Linked DNA regions of Stegostoma tigrinum. The protein of the gene in region 1 purifies or fractionates together with the protein of each later gene. This does not show direct contact. Links are inferred from orthologs where the notes say so. Each region holds a gene or a part of one and is shown in the gene's direction. Other genes may lie near its edges. The genes, in order: gdi2, rab10, ras-related protein Rab-7a and ras-related protein Rab-8B.

Evidence for each region.
Region 2: the proteins of gdi2 (region 1) and rab10 purify together in Homo sapiens (co-immunoprecipitation; 3 studies listed by BioGRID and IntAct, with this or other methods). This does not show direct contact. The link is inferred for Stegostoma tigrinum from reciprocal best matches to the Homo sapiens genes GDI2 and RAB10.
Region 3: the proteins of gdi2 (region 1) and ras-related protein Rab-7a purify together in Homo sapiens (affinity purification with mass spectrometry; 3 studies listed by BioGRID and IntAct, with this or other methods). This does not show direct contact. The link is inferred for Stegostoma tigrinum from reciprocal best matches to the Homo sapiens genes GDI2 and RAB7A.
Region 4: the proteins of gdi2 (region 1) and ras-related protein Rab-8B purify together in Homo sapiens (affinity purification with mass spectrometry; 3 studies listed by BioGRID and IntAct, with this or other methods). This does not show direct contact. The link is inferred for Stegostoma tigrinum from reciprocal best matches to the Homo sapiens genes GDI2 and RAB8B.

What each region holds. Positions count from the first base shown.
Region 1 is NC_081378.1:11,740,241-11,747,108, reverse strand, and holds the start of gdi2 (rab GDP dissociation inhibitor beta), read left to right. Parts: upstream 1-3,841; 5' UTR 3,842-3,973; coding exon 3,974-4,018; intron 4,019-6,868. UniProt on the Homo sapiens protein: GDP-dissociation inhibitor preventing the GDP to GTP exchange of most Rab proteins. By keeping these small GTPases in their inactive GDP-bound form regulates intracellular membrane trafficking.
Region 2 is NC_081357.1:131,665,562-131,672,461, forward strand, and holds the start of rab10 (ras-related protein Rab-10), read left to right. Parts: upstream 1-3,873; 5' UTR 3,874-4,190; coding exon 4,191-4,317; intron 4,318-6,900. UniProt on the Homo sapiens protein: The small GTPases Rab are key regulators of intracellular membrane trafficking, from the formation of transport vesicles to their fusion with membranes.
Region 3 is NC_081364.1:4,089,363-4,097,146, reverse strand, and holds the start of ras-related protein Rab-7a, read left to right. Parts: upstream 1-4,775; 5' UTR 4,776-4,942; intron 4,943-7,784.
Region 4 is NC_081389.1:9,828,643-9,835,981, forward strand, and holds the start of ras-related protein Rab-8B, read left to right. Parts: upstream 1-4,338; 5' UTR 4,339-4,374; coding exon 4,375-4,498; intron 4,499-7,339. UniProt on the Homo sapiens protein: The small GTPases Rab are key regulators of intracellular membrane trafficking, from the formation of transport vesicles to their fusion with membranes.

The sequences.
Region 1 (6,868 bases):
CTCCAACCCCACCACACCCAGCGCTTTCCCCCGCAATCGCACGAAGTGAGACACCTGGCCCCACACCTCCTCCTTTACCCACACCCCAGGCCCCTAGATGACTTTCCACATCAAGCAGATGTTCACCTGCACATGCGCCAACGTGGTGTACTGCATCTGCTGTACCCGTTGTGGCTTCCTCTACATTGGGGAAACCAAGCGGAGGCTTCGGCACCGCTTTGCAGCACACCTACGCTCGGTTCGCAATAAACAGCTGCACCTCCCAGTCGCGAACCATTTCAACTCCCTGTCACATTCCTTAGACGACATGTCCATCCTGGGCCTCCTGCAGTGCCATAATGATGCCACCCGTAGGTTGCAGGAACAGCAACTCATATTCCGCTTGGGAACCCTGCAGCCCAATGGTATCAATGTGGATTTCACCAGCTTCAAAATCTCCCCTCCCAACACTGCATCCCAAAACCAGCCCAGCTCATCCCCGCCTGCTTCCTCTCCTCCCACCTCAGGCCGCACCTCCATTTCCTACCCACTACCCTCGTCCTGCCCCCTTGACCTGTCCATCCTCCCCAGACTGACCTATCCCCTCCCCACCTCCCCACCTCCCCACCCATACTCTCCTCTCCACCTATCTTCTCCTCTATCCATCTTCGATCTGCCTCCCCCTCGCTCCCTATTTATTTCAGAATCCTCTCCCCATCCCCCTTTTCTGATGAAGGGTCTTGGCCCGAATCGTCAGTTTTTGTGCTCCTAAAATGCTACTTGGCCTGCTGTGTTCATCCAGCTCCACACTTTGTTATCTCTGCCCTTATAACCAGGTTTTTAACTTCTCCTGTCATGTACAATAATTTGTGCACCTATTTTGCAAAGTTTCTCTGTTCCTGCATCCCTTTAGAATTGTACCTTATAGTTTATATCGCCTCTCCTCATTCTTCCCACCAAAATGAATCACTTCACACTTCTCTGTATTAAATTTAATCTGCTAATTTGCTAGCCCAATCCACCAACCTGACTACATCCCTTTAAAGAGGTAGCAGGAACTGCCGATGCTGGAGTCTGAGATAACAAGGTGTATAGTTGGATGAACACAGTAGGCCAGGCAGCATCAAATGAGCAGAAAGCTGACGTTTTGGGTCTGGACCCTTCTTCAGAAAGGAAGGGGAAATAACTAGAGAGAGGGGGAGGCGATAATAGAAGGTGGATAGAGGAGCGGATAGGTGGAGAGAAGACGGACAGGTCAAGGAGGTGGGGATAAAGCCAGTACAGGTGCGTGTAGGTAGGGAGTTAGGATGGGGGTTGGTCAATGAGGAGAGAAGGGCGGATAGGTGGGAGGGACGATGGACAGGTCAAGGAGGCAGGGATGAGGCTAGTGGGTAGGAAGTTGGGGTTGGGTTGGTGACGAGATGGGCCCGTCTTCAGATGAGGTCAGGGGTGGGGACATTTTGAAGAAGACTTGTGAAGTCCACATTGAGACCACTGGGCTGCAGGGTTCCCATATGAGGTGCTGCTCCTCCAGCCTTCGGGTGCCATCGTTGTGGAATTGGAGGCAGCCCAGGATGGACGTATCATCTAAGGAGTGGGAGAGGGAGTTGTCGTTTGTCACAAACCGAGCATAGGTGCTCCACAAAGCGGTCTCAAGCCTCCGCTTGGTTTCCCCGATGTAATGGAGGCTGCACCTTGAACAGCGGATACAATATACCACATTAGCAGATGTGCAGGTGAACATCTGTCTAATGTGGAAGATTTTACATCCCTTTAAAGTTCTACATGATTCTTCACAACACTTCCCTGATTTTTTGTTATCTGTAAATATTGAAATTATGCCCAAACACCAGGATCTGGATCGTTAATGTATACCAGGAAAACTAAGAGTCTAAACACTGATGCCCTCAGTGACACTCTCATCTTGTGAATGAATTTTAAAGAAATTAAAATAACTGTTCCTGGGGTCCTCCATTATGTTACTTGCTCCAGTTCAAGAAACAAATATTTATTACTAGTCTTTGCTTCCTCTGCTAATTTTGTATTCACATTGCTACAGTCCCTTTATAGTCCACTGACATCAATTTTGCCTGTAAATCTGTTGGGCAGCTTTATATCAAATGTCTTTTGGATGTTCATGTACACCACATCAACTGCATTAAACATAAGCATTCTTTTTAATTCTTTCATGGAATGTGGGCAACATTGACAGGCCAAAATATATTGTCCATTTCCAAATGCCCTTGATAAGGTAGTAAGTGATCTTTTTGAATTGCTTAGGATGTAAGTACACCCATAATGTTGCTGGTCAGGAAGTTCCAGGATTTTGCAGCAAAGGTGAATGAAAGATGATGACAGCTCCAAATTATAGTGGTTTGTGGTTTAGAGGGGAAGTTGCAAGTAACGGTGTTGCCACACATCTGCTGCCCTTGTCCTTTTAAATGATAGAGATGCAGGCTTGGAAGGTGCTTTGGTGAATTGTTGCAACACAAAACTTAAATAAGATACACATAGTGGCACTGAGCCTTAATGGTGAAAGTAGTTGATGCTCAATATGGTGGATGGGTTACCAAGCAAACAGGCCATATTTCCCTGTATAGTCATAAGGATTTTACAGCATGGACAGAGGCTTTTAAGCCTATCATGTCTACAGCAGTCATCAAGTACTTATCTACTCCATTCCCACATTTCACTACTTGGCCCGTACTTTTGTATTCTTTGATGCCTCCATCAAAGGGAAAAGTTTCTTCCTATGCACCCTTTCTATGCTCCACATAACTCGTATACCTCAATCAGGTATCCCTTTAACTGTCTCTGCTCAAAAGAATACAACCCAACTTATCTGGTGTCTCTCTTCACAGTTGAATCCCAGGCACTATCCTGGCAAATCTCCTTTGCACCTGCTCTAGTGCGATTGCAATCTTCCTATAATGTGGTCACCAGAACTGTGCACAGTACAGAATGACTGAGAAGAAAAAAGGCCCACTGAGGCTATTGCCAAAACTATGCTAAATATACTCTGGTCCCACTATCCAGCTCTGGGCCCAAAGTCTTGAATGTTATGGCATTTAAAGTGAGTCTGGCATGGATGCTGGTAATGTTGTTCAGTGTGGGAACTGAAGCCAATACTTTGATGTTCTTAGCATCACTCACTAAACATCTGAGCTTATCAGCCACCATTAGTCCAGCAGTGGCCTATCACGTCGTACAGCTCCATCATAATTTCCTCGCTGTCGGCAAAGCATTCCAAATACCTTCTCAATTAGTGTCCTGAATCTCCCATGTGAACAGCATTCCTAAAAGAAGAATAGAAATTGCTGGAGAAACTCAGCAGGCCTGGCAGCATCTGTGGAAAAAGGAAAACAGTTGACGTTTCGATTCCAGTATCCCACAGTCCTCCAGAACAGACCTAAACTGCCTTGTGGAGATGATGAATGGGGAGTCAGTTAACACAGCAGGAGAGCCACACACTTTTAAATCCATGGTAACATTTCTGTATTCGCCTAAAGACGGAGTCTGACTGCGGTTTTATCGCTTCCTTTAAGGAGATGGAGGCAGCGGACGTACTCCGTGGCTACTAGTCACTTCCAACCGCCAGGCATTCGGCCACACACGGCGAACCTGCAGCGGCGGGAACCCCACTGCGCCTGCGCAACCACACCCTGTCCACCCCTCCCCCACCCGGAAAAAAATGCTGCATTTGGAGCTGAGGTGGTTGACGGTTCTGGGCAGGAGCGATCCTCGACAGCACAAACACCGCGCATGCGTGAACGGCCCTCAGGCGAGGTCGCGAGCTGGCGGGGAGTTGTGCACATGCGCGTTGACGTTGCTCTCCGCCTTGTAGTTTTTCCCGCCCCTTCAAAGGGCGGGTAGTGCGCATGCGCCTACTTCAGGGACGGGGGAAGAGGAGCCGAAGCAGAGATTGTTCCAGATCGTAGTTCGCCGCCTTGTCTCTTTCCCTGAAGTCAAAAGGAACTAACCGCCATCGCTGAAGATGAATGAGGAATACGATGTGATCGTGCTGGGCACTGGTCTCACGGTGAGTTTGCTCTTGGTTTTGAGGCCCGATGCTTTGTGAGCGTTGGGCGGCGAGGGGTGAGGTCGACTGCCTAGGCCTTGGGCCTCTCCCCATCTCCGCGTCTCGCTGAGTCAGGGAGAGGAGGGGGTTGGGTTTGGAAGGAGGACGGAGATGGAGAGAGTTAGGCCAAAGGACCAGTCCCCGGTAGGGGAGGGGAGTAGGAGTAGGAGTTTTCTTTCCCACTGAATTCGCTCACCTATTTCTCCTCCACGGGAGAGTCTTTATCCTTTTGCTATCGCAAGGTTGGCGGGTTTTTCTCTTCCCTTTTGGACACCGGAAGTTTGTGCTTTGCTGATGCTTAAGGTCGGGAAAGTGGTTGGCGATGGGAGTTCTTTGACTTATGAAAAACAAAATCCGAGCAATATATAATTTTCAGCATTAGCAAGGTGCTGCGGCTGCTGAAATTCAGAACAAAATGGTCGATTATTCGGCAGCAGCTGAAATGCTCTGGTGGGGGGGGGGAGAAAATGCCACAATTAAAATGCTGACACTATTTTCAGATACTGAGCATGTCCAGCGGTGTATGTATTTTATTTTTTCTTGTTTTGGTCACTATAAAGATGTCTAGAATGCTTTCTCCGTGACCGCTGTGAAGGCTTGGAAGCTTTTACAGGGCAATACCTCCTGATTCCCAGCGATCTGCCCACAGCTTGCAAGACACGTATCAGGAGTGTGATGAAATACTCCCCCTTGTCTAGATAGGTGTAGCTTCTCCAACAACTCTCGAGGAACTCGAGATCATCCAGAACAAAGCTAATTTGACCAACATCCCATCAATATTCAACAGTCTGTGCTATGTATATGATGTAGTACAGCAGCACCAAGGGTACTTCAACAGCATGTTTTAAGTTTGTGGCCTCCACTATCAATGTAGAAAAGGCAACAGATATAATGTAAATTTGTCTTTAAGTCTCTCTCAATCCAAATTGGGGCAATATCACCATTTGTTTTTTCTGGTCACCTAGGGTGATACTATTGTGCAAGTAAATGTGCTACCTATGGATGAGAGTTTGCTCGCTGAGCTGTAAGGTTAGTTTTCAGATGTTTCGTCATCAACCTTACAGCTCAGTGAGCAAACTCTCATCCAGAACCTCAACCTGAGCTACAAATCTTCTCAAAACTGTGCTACCTATGCCACTCAATGTTAATTATATACTACCACTTCATTGAGACTAGAAATGACTTGTTTTGTGTATGAACTAAATTCTCATGATACAGATTTTTTTGATCAGTGTGTTTGGAGAGGGTCAGCAATTGATGTAGTTACGTAACAGAACGTTGGACCTGTTTTTCTGAAATAAGCCTAAAATCTAGGTTGCACGTCACCTTTTACAATTTGTTCCCCTCAGTTGAATACTCGCCTTGCAACTATCGTTCCTTCTGCCTTTCCTTTGCATGTTATAGAAAACATTTTCAAAATTCTTTAAAAAAACTTCTGTTTAATTTGTCTTTGATTCTCTTGTTTTGGCTTCTGTTTTGTAATTGAAAACAGCTGTATAAAATCTGAAAAAGACCCTTTTTTTCTCTTGAATAACGTGAAAGAAATGACTTGGCTCAGGACGTGGAAGTAAATTTAAGTTTGTGGTCTAGCTGGAAAAGGTCTTTGTGCTCAAATGGAACTTTTTTCTTTCTTTCAATTTTATCATCTTAGGCTGTTCCTCCTTTTTCGTGGTGAAGAATGTCTGTCTGCCAATCCTTTGTTAACTTGGTCATTAAGTCAGTAGTTATCTGAGCCAAGGCCTCTTGTATAGGAAAGAAGGAAAAGAAACCTGTTAAATACCACTATTTATAACTTCATATTATCCCAAGGTGCATCACAGCCAATTACACTTTGAAATGTGGTCACTGTGATAATGTAGGGAAGCACAGCTGCCAGTTTGCACTAGAAGACCCTACAAATGGTAATCAACTTGTTAGTTGAGGAATATATATATATTGGTTAGGACATCAAGAAAACAACGCCTTACCCATCTCTCAGCAGATGGGTCTGAATTTCATATTTCATTTGAAAGACAGTGTAGAATCCTCACATTTATAGTGTACCTAGACTTTTTTGGCTTCTGAATGGGGTTTGGATCCATGACTCCTGACCTCTTTGGATGCTGCCACTGAATTGAGACTTCCACCTGGGAAAGAAAGTGGAACAGATAGGACTATATTTAACAAAAATCTGGTAACCAATTCAACGCTCTTAATGTTGTGCAGTGCCACTACCCAACGTGCACCGAGTAAATCTGTCATAAGTGGAAGTGAAAAGCAATGTGATTCAGTCTGTTGGATAACAAGCAAATAAATAGTGCCGATGATATGATTTAATTATGGAAGTCTGAGCCACCCAGCTCTCAGTTCTGCTTTGAATTGAGACTTGCAGTGATTATGTTAGAGCACATTGGTATGAAATGGTTTCACAATTGTATTCTAACGTGACTTAACCTCCCAAAAAAATTGTGATAAATAGATTATTCTGTTAATCTGCAAAACTGGGTAAGATGTTTGATTTAATTTGTAACTTGGATCTTTGTGGGTTTAAGTTACTTTTTACTTCTCCATGTTATTGTTGAAATCCAAGGATACTGCTGGGTTAACCAACATTTGCACGCCAGCTAGAGGAAGTGGTGGAGGCTGGTGCAATTACAATGTTAAATAGGCAACTGGATGGGTACATGAGTAGGAAGGGTTTAGAGGAATATGGGCCAAGTGCTGGCAGATAGGACTAGATTAATTTAGGATTTTTAAAAATTCATTAACAGGAGGAGGGCATTGCTAGGTAGGCAGCAATTATTGCCCATCCCGGTTTGCCCAGAGGGCAGT
Region 2 (6,900 bases), on another chromosome or scaffold:
ACACGCATATACGCATTCACACACACACGTATGCATTCACACGCACGTACGTATTCACACACACGCACACACGCATGTACGCATTCACACACACGTACGCATTCACACACACATGCACGTACGCATTCACACACACGCACGTATGCATTCACACACACATGCACGTATGCATTCACACACACGTACGCATTCACACACACGCATGTACACATTCACACACACACGTACGCATTCACACACATGCATGTACACATTCACACACACACGCATGTACGCATTCACACAGGCACGTACGCATTCACACACACATGCACGTACGCATTCACACACACGCACGTATGCATTCACACACACATGCACGTATGCATTCACACACACGTACGCATTCACACACACGCATGTACACATTCACACACACACACATGTACGCATTAACACACACACACGCACGTACGCATTCACACACACACACGCACGTACGCATTCACACACACACACGCACGTACGCATTCACACACACACGTACGCATTCACACACACACGTACGCATTCACACACACGCATGTACACATTCACGCACACACGCGCATGTACGCATTCATACACACGCATGTACGCATTCACACACACATACGTACGCATTCACACACACACGCACGTACGCATTCACACACACACGTACGCATTCACACACACACGTACGCATTCACACACACACACGTACGCATTCACACACACGCACGTACGCATTCACACACACGCACGTACGCATTCACACACACGCACGTACGCATTCACACACGTACGCATTCACACACACGCACGTACGCATTCACACACACGCATGTACACATTCACATACACACACACACGCATTCACACACACGTGCACGCATTCACACACACGTACGCATTCACACACACGCACGCACGCATTCACACACACGCACGTACGCATTCACACACACGCACGTACGCATTCACACACACACGTACGCATTCACACACACACACGCATGTACGCATACACACACACACGTACACATTCACACACATGCATGTACAAATTTACACACACACACGCATGTACGCATTCACACACACGTACGCATTCACACACACACACGCATATACGCATTCACACACACACGTATGCATTCACACGCACGTACGCATTCACACACACGCATGTACGCATTCACACACACGTACGCATTCACACACACATGCACGTACGCATTCACACACACGCACGTATGCATTCACACACACATGCACGTATGCATTCACACACACGTACGCATTCACACACACGCATGTACACATTCACACACACACGCATGTACGCATTCACACACACACACGCACGTACGCATTCACACACACACACGCACGTACGCATTCACACACACACACGCACGTACGCATTCACACACACACGTACGCATTCACACACACACGTACGCATTCACACACACGCATGTACACATTCACGCACACACGCGCATGTACGCATTCATACACACGCATGTACGCATTCACACACACATACGTACGCATTCACACACACACGCACGTACGCATTCACACACACACGTACGCATTCACACACACACGTACGCATTCACACACACGCACGTACGCATTCACACACACATACGCATTCACACACACGCACGTACGCATTCACACACACGCATGTACACATTCACACACACACACACGCATTCACACACACGTGTACGCATTCACACACACGTACGCATTCACACACACGCACGCACGCATTCACACACACGCACGTACGCATTCACACACACGCACGTACGCATTCACACACACACACGCATGTACGCATACACACACACACGTACACATTCACACACATGCATGTACAAATTTACACACACACACGCATGTACGCATTCACACACACGTACGCATTCACACACACACACGCATATACGCATTCACACACACACGTATGCATTCAAACGCACGTACGCACTCACACGCACGTACACATTCACACACACGCACACACGCATGTACGCATTCACACACACGTACGCATTCACACACACACGTACGTACGCATTCACACACACACATATGTACACATTCACACACACACATATGTACACATTCACACACACACGTACGTACGCACACACACACACGCACGCACGTACGCATTCACACACACACACGTACGCATTCACACACACACATGCACGTACGCATTCACACACACACGTACGCATTCACACACATGCATGTACACATTCACACACACACGCATGTACGCATTCACACAGGCACGTACGCATTCACACACACATGCACGTACGCATTCACACACACGCACGTATGCATTCACACACACATGCACGTATGCATTCACACACACGTACGCATTCACACACACGCATGTACACATTCACACACACACGCATGTACGCATTCACACACACACACGCACGTACGCATTCACACACACACACGCACGTACGTATTCACACACACACGCACGTACGCATTCACACGCACGTACGCATTCACACACACACGTACGCATTCACACACACACGTACGCATTCACACACACGCATGTACACATTCACGCACACATGCGCATGTACGCATTCATACACACGCATGTACGCATTCACACACACATGCATGTACGCATTCACACACGCATATATGCATTCACAAACACACACGTGTGTTTGCACACACGCATGCACGCATTCACAAACACTCACATGCGTTTGCACAAATGCATGTATGCATTCACAAATACACAAATGCATGTGCACACACGCATGTACGCATTCACAAATACACACACATTTGCACACACGCATGTAAGCATTCCACACTCCTACCACTCTTTGAGTAAAGAGCCTACCTCTGACGTCTCCCCTGTATCTACCTCCACTCACCTTAAAACTGTGTCCCCTTGTAAAAGCTACTTACAACCTAGGAAAACATCTCTGGTTGTCTACTCTATTATACCTCTGATCACTTTGTACACCTCTATCTAGTCACCTCTCGTCCTTTGTCGTTGTAAAGAGAAAAGCCCTATCTCTCTCAACCTTTCCTCGTAAGACCTTCCCTCCATTCCAGGCAACATTCTGGTAAATCTACTCAGCAACATTTTGAATGCATCCACATCTTTCCTGTAATGAGGCGACCAGAACTGGACACAATACTCCAGATGTGGCTGAACCAGGCTTTTGTATAGCTGGAGCAAAACTTCATGGCTCTTGAACTCAATCCCTCTGTTAATGAAAGCTAACACACCATACGCCTTCTTAACAACTCTATCCACCTAGGTGGCATTTATATACATACACACACACACACACACACACACACACACTTGCACACATGCATGCATACATATGCACATACATACACATGTACACAGATGCATGCATGTAGAAATGTATATGTATGTAAACGTTCATGCATATATATCACATATACATGCATACACACATATATACATGCATTCATGCACATTTACACGTACACACACGTGCAGACATGCATTCACACATATACATGCTCACACCTGTACATTGACAAACACACAGACATATACACATACATACATAACGTCAGCTATCTCACCAAAGGAACACACAGTCCTGACGCCGCGCCGGCGATCCTCATCACCCCATGACGTCATCCATTCGGGCGGGCTGTCGATCGATGATTGACATGTGGAGACCCCACCCCTCCGTGGTTTGGAGAATGAACGGGCGCTTCGTTCTGAGTGGGCGGGGCGGACTATTCCACTGATGGAGAGTGGTTTTGAGGGGGGGGGGTGTCAGTGTTTTGGGTGGATGCCCTCCATGTGGTTGCGTTTGGTTTGTCCGAAGACTGACGTCGACGTTGAATGAAATTGGTGGTGCTGCTCCCGAATGTCTTAGCGAAGTGAAAAGAAAGGGAGAAAGAAAAAAGAAAGTTTAACTAAGGGCACGGTTACCGGCCCGTGTGCCAATTTTTATTTTGTTTTGAACAAGGCAGATCAATGGAAATTCATGGCATCTAACTTGTTGCGGCCGGAACGCTGTTAAAGTGAAAGAGCTAGAGAGGCGCCATTTTGTTCCTTTTTTTAATTATAAAAATAAGAACACTCCTCGCCCCAGCTCATCAACCTAAGGAAGGGAGGGATTATGGCGAAAAAAACCTACGATTTACTCTTCAAGTTGCTGCTGATCGGAGACTCCGGAGTGGGGAAAACCTGTGTGCTTTTTAGGTTCTCGGATGACGCCTTTAATACCACTTTTATCTCCACAATAGGTAAGTGAGGGAGAGAGGGCGGTCAGTGCCTCCGGCCCAGGCCCAGGCCTGTTCAGCTGCCGCTGTCTTGGGTGGGGGCTCTGGGCGGATGTCCGAACCACAGTTTGGGCCTTGCGCCTGATCTTACAGTTTTTTTTGTTGTATAAATAACAGGATTGTCCAGTGTAATGTAGTGAAGCCTCGGCCAGGGGGAGTTTTAGGTTTTTTGAAAAAAACTGAAAACGTATGTGTCCCTCAACATTTCTTCTGCTCATGGTGGCAGGATGTGCAGTTAAACCTGCTGAGGTTGATATTTGTCCAGAAACACCATTTGGATCATTTCGTTTGTTTTTTTTAGTGTGTATAAACTGTGTTTTGTGCCAGTATGGTTTGTCATTGCTTTCTGAAGCGCCGATTGCATTTTAAAACCAAGCTGCCGTTTTTATGCTAAACTTGGTTAATGGTATCTTGGCCTTTTGGAAATCGTTTTAAATGGTTTTAGGGCTTCTAATTTGAGCGTTTTTCTACTTTACAACAGCACTATACATAAAGCGTTCTGGTTCGAAAATTGGTTACGGGAAGGAGAAACAGTCAGAAAAATCGCCTGTTCTTAGGTTGGGCGGTTGTCACTGGTGTGCTCTATTGCCAGGTCCTAATTGTTCATCATATGTTTCAAGAATTTGGGTGTGGGGACTATATGTAACATTTCCAAGTTTGCAGATACTACAAAACATGATGGGAATGTGTATTGTGACGAGGATGGAAAGATGCAAAAGGGAGATTCAGGCAGGCTATGTGAATGAATAAAAACGTGGTAAATGGAATATAAAATCTCTTAAAATTATGGGAGACTAGGAAGTGCTGATGTGCAAAAGTCACAGAGCACGTTGTTAGGAAGGCAAGTAGTATATTGACCTTAATGTGAGAGCATTTTAGTTCAGGACCAAAAAGATTTTGCTGCCAGTTTTTGGAATCTTGATGGCAGTGCACCTGGAGTAGCATTGTGTACAGTTCTGGTCTCTTCCAAAGGAAGGATGTACTTGCCAGTGAGAGAGAGAGAGAACAAAACTGATTTGCCAAATTAATTGCTGGGATTTTATGATTGTCTAAGTAATGACGAGGCCTATTATCATTAGGTTTAAAGGAATGAAAAGTGACTTAATTGAAGGTTCTTTAAGAACTTGTCAAGATAAATGTAGGAAGGATGTTTCTTTCAGCTGACGTTGTCTAAAACCAGGTGACACAGTCTCAGAATAAGAGGTAGACCAGATAGGGCTGAGATGAGGTGAGATTTCCTAGCTCTGAGTTGTGAATCTTTGAAATTCTCTAGCCAAGAGGATGTGATGATTTATTTGGAGTGTGTTTGAGACTGAGGTCAGTAGATTTTTAGGTTGTTGAAGACAAAGGGATAAGAAGATTCTGTGGGAAAATTGCATTGCTGGAGATCATTAGTTCAGTGATTAAGCAGACTCGAGAGACTGAGTAGTTTATTGCTGATTCTCTTCCTGTTTTTAAATGTGCTTTCATTTTAAACAAAAGGATTAGTTTATTGACAATTAATTTCTTTTAAACCTGTTTAGGACAGTTGGTTGAGAAAAGGTCAGGTAGCTAAAAAGTCATAGTATGACTGGAGATTTAATCTCTGAATCTGTACATATAAATATGAAGGCTGCTGAAAATTTCCCAAGTTGTTATATTTTTTAATAAATATGTTTCATTTAAATATAGTTTGCATTTTAACTTCTCAGTTAACTAACATGGCCTAATCAGAGGAAGTGATAAATTCTTGTTGGATACAGTCTAGTTACCATAGCTCAGTTGTTAATTTGGTTGTGGGTGTGGTCAGTTGCAAACAAAGTACTATAAATCATTTCCACAGTTTGCTATTTAGCTCCTTGTGCCTCTTCGGACTCTGAATGAAATCATGGTTGATCAGGGATCTGGTGCTATGTCCGTTGCTGGACTTTATTAACCTAAGCTTTCAGTCTTAAATTTAGAATTAACAATTGACCTAGAATGGCAGAAGAGAATTTCAAGCATTTGCAAGCTTTTGTGTGAGAAAATATTTCCTAATTTTATTCCTGAAAGGTCTGGTTCTAGTTTTTGATTCTCCCACCTCTTCCTAGGCTCATCAAACAATAGTTTCTTTTAGCTAGTAAATTTTTTTGGGGGTTTAGTGTCCAGATTGCTTGTTGTGCCTCACATGTGATTTAACTAGGGCTTTGTATAGCTGTAGCATGACTTCTGTTCCTTTGTGTTGAAGTTTGCATTAGATTTGAAGGCCAGCATCCTATTAGCCTTTCTAGTTATTTTCTGGACCTGTCAGTGTCTTTAGATCTGTCATTTCTAGCTTTTAACTATTTTTTAAAAAAATGAAGTATGTTTACAGGTCAAAAGTGAGAGTTCATGTTAGGCTATGTTGAAATTTGTTTGCCAACATGAAGTCCATTTGCCACTGTTTTGCCTATTGAATTAATTGATATCCTTTGTAATTTTTACTTATACCCATCCATTTTCTAGCAAGCTTGGATTTCTTCATGTCATTTAAATTACTATTAAAGATGGTGAGACCTCTGAACCAAGACACCCAGGTACAAGTCTCAC
Region 3 (7,784 bases), on another chromosome or scaffold:
GTGCCGACCTGTCATACCGATCACAAGCCCATCTAGCCTACACTATTCCATGTACGTCCATATGCTTATCCAATGACGACTTAAATGTACCTAAAGATGGCGAATCTACTACCGTTGCAGGCAAAGCGTTCCATTCCCTTACTACTCTCTGAGTAAAGAAACTACCTCTGACATCTGTCCTATATCTTTCACCCCTCAAATTAAAGCTATGCCCCCTTGTGCTCGCTGTCACCATCCTGGGAATAGGGCTCTCCCTATCCACGCTATCTAACCCTCTGATTATTTTATATGTTTCAATTAAGTCACCTCTCAACCTTCTTCTCTCTAATGAAAACAGCCTCAAGTCCCTCAGCCTTTCCTCCTAAGACCTTCCCTCCATACCAGGCAACATCCTAGTAAATCTCCTCTGCACCCTTTCCAAAGCTTCCACATCCTTCTTATAATGCGGTGACCAGAACTGTACACAATACTCCAAGTGCGGCTGCACCAGAGTTTTGTACAGCTCCTCTACATTGGGGAAACCAAGCGGAGGCTTGGGGACCGCTGTGCAGAACACCTCCGCTCGGTTCGCAACAAACAATTGCACCTCCCAGTTGCGAACCATTTCCACTCCCCCTCCCATAACCTCTTGGTTCCGGAACTCGATCCCTCTATTAATAAAAGCTAAAACACTGTATGCCTTCTTAACAGCCCTGTCACCCTGGGTGGCAACTTTCAAGGATCTGTCTACATGGACACCGAGATCTCTCTGCTCATCTACACCACCAAGAATCTTACTATTAGCCCTGTACTTTGCCTTCCGGTTACTCCTACCAAAGTGCATCACCTCACACTTGTCTGCATTAAACTCCATTTGCCACCTCTCAGCCCAGCTCTGCAGCTTATCTATGTCTCTCTGCAACCTACAGCATCCTTCGTCACTATCCACAACTCCACCGACCTTAGTGTCGTCTGCAAATTTATTAACCCATCCTTCTACGCCCTCATCCAGGTCATTTATAAAAATGACAAACAGCAGTGGACCCAACACCGACCCTTGTGGTACACCACTAGTAACTGATCTCCAGGATGAACATTTCCCATCAACTACTACCCTCTGTCTTCTTTCAGCAAGCCAATTTCTGATCCAAACTGCTATATCTCCCACAATTCCATTCCTCCGCATTTTGCACAATAGCCTATTGTGGGGAACCTTATTGAATGCCTTGCTGAAATCCATGTACGTCACATCAACCGGTTTAATCTCATCTACCTGTTTGGTCACCTTCTCAAAGAAGTCAATAAGGTTTGTGAGGCACGACCTTCCCTTCACAAAAGCGTGCTGATTATCCCTAATCAGTTTATTCTTTTCTAGATGATTATAAATCCAATCCCTTATAACCTTTTCCAACACTTTACCAACAACTGACGTAAGGCTCACTGGTCTATAATTACCAGGGTTGTCTCTACTCCCCTTCTTGAACAGGGGAACCACATTTGCTATCCTCCAGTCATCTGGCACTAGTCCTGTAGACAATCACGAGTTAAAGTTCAATGCCAAAGGCTCAGCAATCTCCTCCCTGGCTTCCCAGAGGATCTGAGGATAAATCTCATCCGGCCCAGGGGACTTATCTATCTTCACCCTCTGAAGGATTTCTAATACCTCTTCCTTGTGATGGGGGATGGGGAGAGGATTCTGAAATAAATAGGGAGAGAGGGGGAGGTGGATTGAAGATGGATAGAGGAGAAGATAGGTGGAGAGGAGAGTATAGGTGGGGAGGTAGGGAGGGGGTAGGTCAGTCCGGGGAGGATGGACAGGTCGAGGGGGCGGGATGAGGTTAGTAAGTAGGAAATGGAGGTGCGGCTTGAAGTGGGAGGAGGGGATAGGTGAGAGGAAGAACAGGTTAGGGAGGCGGGGACAAGCTGGTCTGGTTTTGGGATGCAGTGGGGGGAGGGGACGAGCTGGGCTAGTTTTGGGATGAAGTGGGGGAAGGGGAGATTTTGAAGCTGGTGAAGTCCACATTGATACCATTGGGCTGCAGGGTTCCCAAGCTGAATATGAGTTGCTGTTCCTGCAACCTTCGGGTGGCATCATTGTGGCACTGCAGGAGGCCCGTGATGGACATGTCATCTAAAGAATGGGAGGGGGAGTGGAAATGGTTCGTGACTGGGAGGTGCAGTTGTTTGTTGCGAACCGAGCGGAGGTGTTCTGCAAAGCGGTCTCCAAGCCTCTGCTTGGTTTCCCCAATGTAGAGGAAGCCACACCGGGTACAGCGGATACAGTATAACACATTGGCAGATGTGCAGGTAAACCTCTGCTTAATGTGGAATGTCATCTTGGGGCCTGGGATAGGGGTGAGGGGGGAGGTGTGGGGGCAAGTGTAGCACTTCCTGTGGTTGCAGGGGAAGGTGCCGGGTGTGGTGGGGTTGGAGGGCAGTGTGGAGCGAACAAGGGAGTCATGGAGAGAGTGGTCTCTCCGGAAGGCAGACAAGGGTGGGGATGGAAAAATGTCTTTGGTGTTGGGGTCGGATTGTTTTGCGGCTTCAGTTCCCATTATCTCCGATCACTCCTTCCAACTTGCTCACGCCGAACCCGCCAGCCTCACTCAAGCCCTGTCATCAAAATAAGTAACACTTTCCCAGATGCTGAAGGAGATTCGCTGGATTTGAAACATTAACTCTGTTTCTCTCATCAAAGATGCCACCAGGCCTGCTGAGTTTCTCCAGCATTTTCTGAGTATGTTTCACATCCCTAGTGTCCGCAGTTCTTTGCTGAATCATTGCCTCCGTTGGCTCTTTTCCTTCCTAGTTCTAAATAGTCACATTATAAATCCTTTGTAATCCAGAAATGTCCATGCATGTCCATATTCCAATTCTAATCATTCACAAACTTATACATCCTAACAAACAGCACCTTTCACATCCACTAAAGTACTCAAAAAAACTTACAGCCAATGAAGTCTCTTTTGAGGTGATATAAGTGGGAAAGGAGCCAGCCAGCTAAATCCCTTTTTCTGGTTTTCGCCCAGGACCATTAGTGAGTTCCAGATATCTACATGCTCTCAGTGAAAAGCATTTTTCACAAATCCCCCTCTAAGCCTGCTTCTCCTTACATTACCTTAGCCAGTCCCACTTCTTATCCCTCTTCCACACACCAACTGTAACCTTCGATCTGATTTATTGCTGTCACATGTACCTAAGTACAGTGAGAAGTTTTGCTTTGCATGCAGAACTGGCAGATCATAACATACAAAGACATACAGATCATAGGGAGATTGAATACACGGAGGTGTACACAGTTATGGTTGCACAGGAAGTGTACAAAAGCAAGATTAACATTAGATGTGAAACTTGAGAGGTCTGTGCAGCAGCCAAATAGCAACAGGGAAGAAGCTTTTCATAAACCTGTTGGTACATGTGTTTAAACTTCTGTATCTTCTGCCTTACAGAAAAGCTTGGAAGAGATTATAACCAGGGTGGGAGGGATGGATAAAAGCATGGTCACGAGGAGCAGGAGTAAGCCATTCAGCCCTTCAAGTCTGCTCTGCCATTTAATATGATCATGGCTGATCCTAAATACCATGTTCCTGCTTTCTCCCCACATCCTTTGAAGCATTTAAAATCTAAAAATGTATCCATCTCTTTCTTGAAATATTCACTGAATTCGCCTCGAAAGCATTCTGTGGTAGAAAATTCCACAGGCTGACCATTCTTTGAGTGAAGAAATTTTTCCCCATCTCACTCCCAAACTGTGCTTGTAGTTCTAGACTCCCCAAACAGGGGAAACATTCTCCCTGCATCTGGTCTTTCTAGCCCTGTTAGAATTTTAGCAATCAGATTCCCTCTCATTTTTCTAAACTGCAGTGACAACAGGCCTAGTTGAGTCATCTCTCCTCACAGGACAGACTTGCTAACCCTGGTATCAGCCTGGTGAACCTTTTGCGCATTCCCGCTATTCTTTAGTAGTTATGGAGACACAACTGCATTCAATACTCCAGATGTGGTCTCACGTAGGCCCTGTAAGTCATTCGTACTTCTGAACCAAAATCCTCATCCATGGAGGTCAGCATACCGTATGCCTTCCCGTTTGCTGAACCTAGAATAATGGCGTTTTGACAGCACCGATAGAGGCCCTTGGGCCCATTTCGTCCACACTGGTCATCAAACACCAATCAATTCTAATCCCATTTTTCAGCACTTGGCCTGTAACCTTGAATGTTACTTTAGTTCTGAAGAAATCATACTAGGTTTGAAATGTTAACACCGTTTCTCTCTCCAAAAGTGCTGCCAGCCCTGTTGAGGTTCTCCAGCACTCAGCTCAGTTGGCTGGACAGCTGCTTTGTGTTGCACTAATCAGTGTGAATTTAACTCCCAAACTGTCTAAGGTCATCAAGGTCCTAAAATGCAACAAAGAACCACGGATGATGGAAGTCTGGAACAATTACAGATATTGCTGGAGAAACTCAGCAACTTCAGTTCTGAAAAACGTTCTCTGGACTCCAATGCTGCCAGAACAGCTGAGTTTCTCCAACACTTACTGTTTCTGTTTCGGATCTTTAGCATCCACAAATCTCTGTTTTACTATCAACACTCCCCAGCCCGTTTCAATGGTTTAAATCCTTAAGACCTGTCTTAAGATCACACTCGACTCCCCAGCCTCCCCCTCAACAGTAACGTGTCCCGCGTTTGGCAGGCGCTAGGACCCGGCAAGGTTGGTCGTACTCGAACCCGCCCCCACCCCCCACATGGCAGTCACGCAGCGGGCGGTCCTGCGGGGGTGACGCCATACGCCGAAACGTAATACGCGGTGACATCAGACGCAGGGTGCGGGTGATAAGCGGGGAGTCGGAGGCAAAGCTTCGACAGCTAGGAGCGGCCCGGCCCAGCCAAGCCAGTGACTTACCGAGCAAGACCGGCAGTAGGCCGCGCAGCTGACTTTTCTCAACCTCCCTTGCCCTTTCAGGTGAGTCTGACTCGGTGCCGGGTACTGGTAGGCCGCTCTGCCCGCGGGTGTAAAGCGCTTTTGGGAGAGGAGGAAGGAGAGAAACAACGGAGGCCTCGATCTCGGAGAGAGACACACAGGGCCCAGGGTCCGCCCAGCGGCCGCGCTCCCGGCCCTGCGCGCACCCTTCCCTAGCAACCGTCCCCGGGCTCTTCCTAGCAACGACACCCCCCGTGCTTGATGCCCCAGCGTGTGGGGAAAGCGGTGAGCCCTAGCAACTGCCCCCGGGCCCCTTGGCAACACCCCTGCGAGTGACAGGAACTCGCACCCCTTCAGGCCCTGGCAGTCCTGGCGAAGTAGCATCTGTGCTACATCAAATATACATTAGCATCCCGCTGGGGAGTTGTTCCCCTCCTTTCTCTTTCTAATTTAATAACCTGTGCAGCGCAAAACGCAGTATAATTACTGAATGACACGGTGTACGTGTTACACTTGCTTTCAGTTCTCTTCAAATGTGTTTTTTAAATGCTGGCTTCGCATTTTTCCGCTTAGATTTTGTGTGGATTTTTTAATTTCAGTGGGATGCATCTTTTATATTGTTGTGAGCGGCTTTCCCTAAAGCTAGGGCTAACACTAGATTTTCACGTAGCTGTCTGGGCTCTTTCGAGAACGCTATTAACCCCCCCTTCCAACGACAAGTGACGCTTGTTTTGAGCCGTCGCTGCTGTGTTGTATATGTGGAGAGCCTGTGGAAACTTCAAACCTGGCTCCTTTGTCTCTAGTCTTCGGGGTGACTAAGCTCTTTGAGCTGGTTTCACTTTTAATATCGCTAAAATTTTCATGTTTCTATTTAATGTTGCAGATAAAAGTATGTTGTGGCATTGTTTGCCAGTTTCAAGGCTTGTTGTTCAGGAAGCTCTGTAATAAATCGAGTGATTTGATTTTTGTTTGCGAGTAAAATAGGGTTTCTAAGACGCTTGTTTCTTCAGTAATACTTTCCTAACTAGAGCAAACGAGGCTTAATGCCACAGCACCACTCCAGTTGTAGTGTCTTATTTTGATCTAGTTTCTCGTCAACGCGCATTTAAAAATGCGACTTGCCTGAGCTGTCTGTATGATGGACAGCCAAATGATCTAACTGTGAACTGCATTGTTGTGAAACAGGTATCATGATGTAGTTTCTGTCCAATGGGGGGGTTGGGGGAGAGAGGTGGTGGGTGGTTGAGTTTGTAAATTGTTGCTTTTCTCGAAGTCCAAGAAACCTGCTCCTCGTGATTCTTACAGCTGATGAAACACATGACTTGTCATTGCACTCCTGAAAAACAGACATGAACACTTTATTTATATAAACTTCAGATGTTGCCAAGGGTGTTTTCTTGTGAACTGCCCCCTTTGGGCATATGTGGTGCTGCATCCTATGACATGATAAAATGACTCCTCCTTTTTACATGTGCTAGCTTGTCTTTTTCAATCTAAATACTTTAGACCTACTCAGATTCTTTTTCCAATGTAGAAATTGTCAGTGATTAAGTGTATGGTTTACTAAGTGTAACTGTATTGCTGCTCTGCCTGGGATCTCTTCTGTGAAGAGATTATGGAATAATGTTTCCTCAAGTTTGAGGTTGTGTAATCTAGTGGCAGGGTGTTTTTAGTTAGGGACCAATTGCTCAGCTTACTGGTGGGTTTTTCAGAACTGGGTCCTTTTTGTTATTGGAATGTTTAGGTCAGGGAGCAACATGGGACTTAATGAGCTGTAATATTGAAAGTGCAGTAATGGGAACTGCAGATGCTGGAGACGACAAGATGACAAGGTGTAGAGCTGGATGAACACAGCAGGCTGAGGAGCACAAACTGATGTTTTGGGCCTAGACCCTTCATGAGAAAGTGAGTTGGATACCTGACTTTCACCATGGATGTCCAGTCCCTGTACACTGGCATTCCCCATGCAGATGGCCTGAAGGCCCTCTGCTTCCTGTCCCACAGGCCTGACCAGTCTCCTCTCCTCCTCCTTCTTCCCCCCCCCCCCCCCGCCATCTAGTCAAACTTGTCCTCCCCTCAACTTCTTGATTCCTCCCACCCCCTACAGACAAAGGGGGTGGCCATGGGTACCCACATGGGCCCAAGCTATGCCTGCCTCTTTGTAGGTTATGTGGAACAATCCCTCTTCTGTACCTACACTAGCCCTAAACCCCACTTCATCCTCCATTACACTGACTGACTGCCTGCATTGGTGCTGCCTTGTGCCTTGAGGAGCTCAAACAGTTCATCCACTTCACCAACACCTTCCACCCCAACCTTAAGTTCACCTGGGCCATCTCCAACACATTGATCCTTCTCTTCTCTTCTTCCCCCCCCCCCCCAAAATCTTCCTGGACCTATGTCTCCATTTCAGGCATCACCTAGAAACTGATATCCATTTCAAGCACACTGACTTCCACAGCTACCTAGAATACACCACCTTCCTGTAAAAATTCCATCCCTTTCCCAATTCCTAAACCTCTGCCACATCTGCTCCCAGGATGAGGCATTCCACTCCTGTACACCTGATCCCTTTAAGGACTGCAACCCCCCCTCCCCTTGCAGTAGTCTCTAACACTGTTGACCACGTTTCCTGTAACTCATCCCCCCACCACACCCTGTCCCTGCAATAACTGCCAAAAGAGAATCACCCTTGTCCTCATGTACCACCCCACCAAGCTCCAAATCCAACACATCATCCTCCACTTCTGCCATCTGCAGTTGACCCCCAGCACCAAAGACATTCATCCATCCCTACTCTGATCTGTTTTTCAGGGGGACCACTGTCTGTGACTCCCTTGTCAGGTCCACACTCCCCTCTAGCCCCACCACACCTGGCACTTCC
Region 4 (7,339 bases), on another chromosome or scaffold:
ACTCCCGCAATCCCAGATGTCCTCGTTCTTCCAGGGCCGCAACACTCTCCCAGCAGTGGTCGAGAACGCCCTCAACCGAGCCTCCCACAGTTCCCGCACCTCATCCCTCACACCCCGCCCTCGCAATAACTGCCCTAAGAGAATCCTCCCAGCCCTCACATACCACCCCACCAACCTCCAGATACAACGCATCATCCTCGGACAGTTCCGCCATCCACAATCCGACCCCACCCTTGTCTATCTTCCGGAGAGACCACTCTCTCTGTGACTCCCTTAACCGCTCCACACTCCCCTCCAACCCCACCACACCCGGCGCTTTCCCCTGCAACCTGCTACCCCTGCCCCCACACCTCCTCCCTCACCTCCATTCCAGGCCCCAAGATGACTTTCCACATCAAGCAGATGTTCACCTGCACATCTGCCAATGTGGTATACTGCATCTGCTGTACACGGTGTGGCTTCCTCTACATTGGGGAAACCAAGCGGAGGCTTGGGGACCGCTCTGCAGAACGCCTCCGCTCGGTTCGCAATAAACAACTGCACCTCCCACTCCCCCTGCCATTCTTTAGCGACATGTCCGTCCTGGGTCTCCTACAGTGCCATAATGATGCCACCCATAGGTTGCAGGAACAGCAATTCAAATTCCACTTGGGAACCCTGCAGCCCAATGGTATCAATGTGGATTTCACCAGCTTCAAAATCTTCCCTCCCCCCCACTGCATCCCAAAACCAGTCCAGCTTGTCCCCGCCTTCCTAACCGGTTCTTCCTCTCACCTATCCCCTCCGCCCACCTCAAACCGCACCTCCATTTCCTACCTACTAACCTCATCCCATACCCCCCCGACCTATCCCCTCCCTACCTCCCCACCCATACTCTCCTCTGCACCTGTCTTCTCCTCTATCTATCTTCGGTCTGTCTCCCCCGCTCTCCCTATTTATTTCAGAATCCTCTCCCCATTCCCCCCTTTCTGATGAAGGGGCTAGACCCGAAATGTCAGCTTTTGTGCTCCTAAGATGCTGCTTGGCCTGCTGTGTTCATCCTGCTTCACACTTTGTTATATATAATCAATCTTTGATGATTGGTTGGCAGTTAAATCATTATCAATAACATGACATTCATACAGCACTTTAATGTATGTTAGCATTGCATGCTGCTTTATGAGCATGTATTCAGGCTGAAATTAGCCAAAGTGACAAATACCAGGACGGGTGGCAGTGGAGTAGGACTCCTGAGCAGGACCTCATCCACTCTATCTGCTTCTTTTCTGTTTTTCTCACTATTTTTGCATTTCTTTCCATTCTGTTTACACCTTGCATTCTTGGGTGGCATCAAGGACATCCAGGGTAAAAGCCAGTGCAGACTCATGACCTCAGCACGGATCCAGAAGCCCAGCCCCGGCGCGGACCCAGGCTCCTGGCCTCAACGTGGACTCAGTGCGGAATCGATTTCCCAGCCTCAAGGTGAAGCCTGGTGTGGTGTGGGTTGGAAGGACTGTTATTCTGACCTCTTATTCCTCTACTTTTCTTATTTATTGCTGGACATTTTATTTCTTTATTTTTCTAAAATTTTCCTTAAGAATTTGTATTTCATAATCTGTACCTGGGTACTTGGTACTGAAGATGGTGCCATAATTGGTGACTTGTAAACTTTCACTATACTCATGTGAGGACATGTGACAATAAAGTTAATTCTAATTCCATTTCTAATTCTAAGGTGGTCAAAAGCTTTTGATAGCATTTAAAGAGGGTTTTGTCCATTAAAGGAGGAGAAAGAGAGGCAGAGAGGTTTAGGGATGGAATTCCAGAGCTTAAAATGTGCTAAAAACATAATCACAAAAATGGATCAAAGGACGTTGATGCATGAGAAACTAGAGTCGGAGTAATGCAGACATCAAGTTTCTCTTACGCACTCATTCACTCGTGCCTGCATTCTCTCTCTCACTCACTTACATACATCTACTGCCACTCACTCACTTACTCACTCACACATCCACTCTTTCAGCCACACAGTCAGTCAGTCACCCATTCATTCGCAGAAATTGGTAGCAATAAACCAAAGGAGTCCTGGGGAAGCAATGGAATAGAGAAGACTGTGATATTCTGCAATTGTACAGAACAACCTTCACTCTATGTCTACCTAAAACATCAGTGTTTACTAGCCTCAGTTCACTATCTATACTTGCTTTTCCAGTATCCAAAACTTGAGGACAACTTAAAACATTTCGTATCATTTCCTTGACCAGGAGCCAGAAGTACAATTTTAACTCGGTCTTTCCAGAATCTCAAAGGGCACCTCACCTCCCTCTGATTCTATTTTCTCTCATTGACTTTGGTTTAATGTCACCTAAAATTTCAAGTTTGGTCAAACTTGATCTCCTATCCTTCTGGCTATGTTATTTTAGTTTCTCGCAATGACAAACATCTCTTTAGCAGATGTTTTAAAAGTTTATGTTCATTAACTTACGTATATATTTCAGACACAGCATTTCATCCAAAGTATTTTACCTGAACTGAAAGCTGAATATTGGAACTTTCAATGTTAAAATGAGAACACCTCCCATCTTTATGAGCTCTCTGGAATTTAAGCCCGGATACAAAGCATATTAAATATGTGTCTGATGAAGGTCTCTGATGAAGGGTCTAGGCCCGAAACGTCAGCTTTTGTGCTCCTGAGATGCTGCTTGGCCTGCTGTGTTCATCCAGCCTCACATTTGATTATCTTAAATATGTGTAATGGTTTGCTCATGGTGGACCTATACTTGAGTCCACTATAATTGGATGCAGACCAAAAGTGTCACTGTTGGGAAGGGAGGTGTAAACTTGTAATGTGCATTTCTTTACATAAGCAGAAAATTACATCAAGATTTGTTCAGATCTATTCATCCCCATGTGGTTTTCTGGGACAGAACACAAACTGTACAATCGCCCCTGCAGCCCTGATTTCCTGGCTCAGATAGTAGATTTCTGGAAAATGAGCCTGCAAAAAAAAATTGCTTAAGGGAAAACAGATATATGTTGCTCAGTGTTCAGTTCTTGGCAGTACTATAATACAAAGGCCTAGTGGCAAAGAGTTGGGTGGGACCAGCAAAAAATCCAAGCCTGAAAACTGGTGAACTAATCTAAGATGATTCCATGAGAGTGCAATTTATTTTGTTTTAATTCATTCATAGGATGAGGGCATCACTGGGTGGGCCAGCATTTATTTCCCATCCCTAATTGCCCAGGGTGCAGTTAAGAGTCAACTACATTGCTGTGAGTCTGGAGTCACATGTTGGCTAGACCAGGTAAGGATGGCAGGTTTCCTTACTTAAAGGACATTAGAGAATGAGATGGGTTTTCTAGACAATCGGTAATGGGTTCATGGTGATCATTTGACTCCTAATTCCAGATTATTATTGAATTCAAATTCTACCATCTGCTTTGGCCAGATTCAATCCCAGGTCCCCAGACCATTATCCGAATGTCTGGATTAATAGTCTAGCGATAATATCACTGGGCCACCACCTACCCCACATTATCATACCCGGGGAATTCAGATGGAGTAAGGCTGAATTGTTAGGGAGATTACTTGGTGATTAAATCCTACATTTTGGGGAGCTGAACTCTACCTTAGGGGGCCCAGACTTGTGGAGGATTGTTGTAAAGACCTACTTGGTACAGTAATGCCCTACAGGGAAGGAAATCTGCCCTTCTTACCTGGTCTGGCCTACATGTGACTCCAGACACATAGCAATGATGTTGAAAATGACATAGCAGGTCACTAAATTCAAGAGCAAGTACAGATGGGCAACAAATGCTAACCAGTCAATGATGCCCACATCCCATTAAAGAATTATTCTAAAAGTAATAACTGGAAAAATTCAGCAGATCTGGGAGCAAATGTAATGAGAGAAAGCAGAGATCACATTTCAGTCCACTCTGAAGTAGGCTTACTGGACTCAAACTTTAATTCTGTCTCTCTCTACAGATGCTGCTAGACCAGCTGAGTTTTTCCAGCAATTTTCTGTTTTTGTTTCAGATTACCAGCATCTGTAGTTCTTTATTTTAGAGACTGCAGTGGTTTGGGGCATGGAGGAGTAGACAGGAAATCAATGAGATTCACGTCCACATTGCTGACGTTAGTGTAACTGTCCCAATTTAGAACAATCTGTAGTTACAGACCATCGCCTGTTGGGGAACGAGGAGTTGAAGAAAGAAATGACTACAATCCCCAGTTGTCATTGCGGCGTTGACGTTCACGCACGGCGCCCGCGTACGTCGGACGAAAGCCAATCAGCCGTAGAGCATGTGATTGGCGTGAGGCCCCGCCCCCAGCGTCCGCGCACGCGCAGAGTTCTGGGTTTCACCGTCGGCTGCAGTCAGCTCCCGCCCGCCATGGCCAAGACGTACGATTACCTCTTCAAGCTGCTGCTGATCGGCGACAGCGGCGTCGGTAAAACCTGCCTCCTTTTCCGCTTCTCGGAGGACGCCTTTAACACGACCTTCATCTCCACCATAGGTGAGTTCGGCAGTGAGGGAGGGATCGGGGGGGGGGAGAGCGCCAATCTCGGGGCCTGCCGTTTGCTTTAGGGGCGCCCCAACTCATCCCCTCCCACCCCCATCCTACCCCGCCATCACCCCCATCCTACCCCGCCATCATCCCCATCCTACCCCGCCATCACCCCCATCCTACCCCGCCATCACCCCCATCTTATCCCCCCGTCCCCCCATTCCCCCATTTTCCACCCCCACCAGCCCCCCCCATTTTTCACCCCCACCAGCCCCCCCCATTTTTCACCCCCCCGCCCCCCCCATTTTTCACCCCCCCCGCCCCCCCCATTTTTCACCCCCCCGCCCCCCCCATTTTTCACCCCCACCGCCCCCCCCATTTTTCACCCCCACCGCCCCCCCCATTTTTCACCCCCACCGCCCCCCCCATTTTTCACCCCCACCGCCCCCCCCCATTTTTCACCCCCACCGCCCCCCCCCCATTTTTCACCCCCACCGCCCCCCCCATTTTTCACCCCTACCGCCCCCCCCATTTTTCACCCCTACCGCCCCCCCCATTTTTCACCCCTATTCACTCCCCCTCTGACTGTCCACTTCTTCCCTCCCCCCATTTTACCATCTCCTGTATTTCCCCTTACCTGCCTCCACCCCCAGGTCTCCCCCACAGCTGCCCCTGTCCCACTTGATGCCCATGGCCCTCCACCCCCTCTGACCCCTTGCGTGTTCCCTGCTAAACCACCTCAATCTACTCCTTCCTACCACCTTTCCATCTCTTCCCTACAGCTCCCTCAACCTCCGAACCCCTGCTTCTATTACCCCACACTCTCTCCTATCTCTATAAACAAGGCAAGTTCCCAATTAAAAGACTTTTGGTTCAGGCAGTGGGATGCCAGAAATTGGCCTGATGTTGAATAGGGTGAAAGAGTCTTTATGTGATTCTTGGTGGCCTCTGTGGAGCAGAACCTCTTGTGTGGCACAACTCTGTGAATCTGCAGTTTCAAAGTACGAGCAGGAGAGCTACTGCTGAGACACATTTGAAACTTGAATATTAAGTATCAGATATTTGCTGGAATTTTGGAAGTAAAGATCTGAATGAAATTTGTTTTGGAATGTAATTGAGCAAAAATACTAATTTAATTGAGTTAGAAGTTAGAGGTCAGTGTTTCAGGTTATGTTTTTTTTGCCCAAGTTGCAAATGTTTTAAAATATTGTACAGATTTGTGGATACTTTAGTGCTTTGGTCAGTAGTAAACTACTTTCAGAAAAGCATATTATTTTGTAGCATGTTTCAAAAATAAACTTCATACTTAGGATGTTTGAAACCAAATTGAATATTGTTTCGTACACCTGTGGAGATATTACTACTTGTCTCAACTGAGCTTTGAAAATTTATACTAATTCAAAAATACTTCAGTCACCTTTTTTGGGAAAAAATGCCATTTTTCTATTGCATACAAGTCTCAGTTAAATTGTTTGTTTTTTTCAACACAAAAACTGACATTTGCTTCTCGGAAGTGGTCTTTCATTTTTGATTTTCTCAAATGAAATATTTGTGCTTCCTCTTGAGAGATTTGGTGGTTGCTTAGAATCAGAACATGAGTATGTTAGCAGATGATCGCAGTGTAATAGTTACAGAATCTTTTCATATGTTGATTCCTTGGTCAGTGTGGAGGCAATGGCCTACTGGTAATATTGGACTATTAATTCAGAGGCCCAGGTAATGTTCTGGGAGACCCGGGTTCAATTCCTGCCATGGCAGATGGTGGAATTTGAATTCAATAAATATCTGGAATTAAGAGCCTGATGACTGTGAATCTACTGTGGATTGCTGAGAAAACCAACTGGTTCTCTAAGGTCCTTGATAACAAAGTGTGAAGCTGGATGAACACAACAGGCCAAGCAGCATCTCAGGAGCACAAAAGCTGACGTTTTGGGCCTAGACCCTTCGTCAGACTTCATCTGCTGTGTTCATCCAGCTTCGCACTTTGTTACCTTGGATTCTCCAGCATCTGCAGTTCCCATTATCACTAAGGTCCTGAACTGGTCTAGTTTACATGCGACTCCAGACTCTTAACTGCCCTCTGGGCAATTAGGGATGGGCAATGAATGCTAGATAGTGACACCCTCATGGGATGACAGGCATTTTTATATTCGTTCATGGAATGAGGGTGTCGCTGTCTAGCATTTATTGCCCGTCCCATGAATGAATATAAAAATGCCTGTCAGTTTGTCGAGATGGGGCCCCAGTAGTGGTACTGGTGAGTGTTTTATGGTGATGGATTTAAAATTGTAGTACAAAATGAACATATGTTACTGTATTATCTTGCCTACTGTTTCTCCTGCAGTATATTGTTAAGCCTTTTAATATTTACTAGGAGTACTGAATAAACTAACATCAACTGTGAACTTTATAGCTAGGTATGATGTATATTCGCTGCACACTTCAGATCTTTTCCTAAGGTACATTTACATTTAACTCTAGCATGTTCATGCAATGTGGTTGTGGCTTGTACAGATAACTGAAGTTGTGTGTGAATTTGAACTGAAATTTGTCCTGACTTTAGACAGGATGTGAATGTAGTGTAGTTCCAGTGTTGCATCAAGTTGATGCTTTTTAAAAAAAAGCGAAACAAACATTTTCAATGAACTGCAGGTGCATTTTCAAAACAGCGGACATCCCCTCACCACCACCAACCATCTGCATGCAGAGCAGGGCTAAAGGGCAGTCGTTAATATGGCTGAGACACTGATTATAAGTAGTGCCTATGTTAATCTTATATTTTTGCCTTTATTTATACATAATTAACTTTTTTATTTAACAACCCTTAACAAAAATTTGTTGTGAAAACCA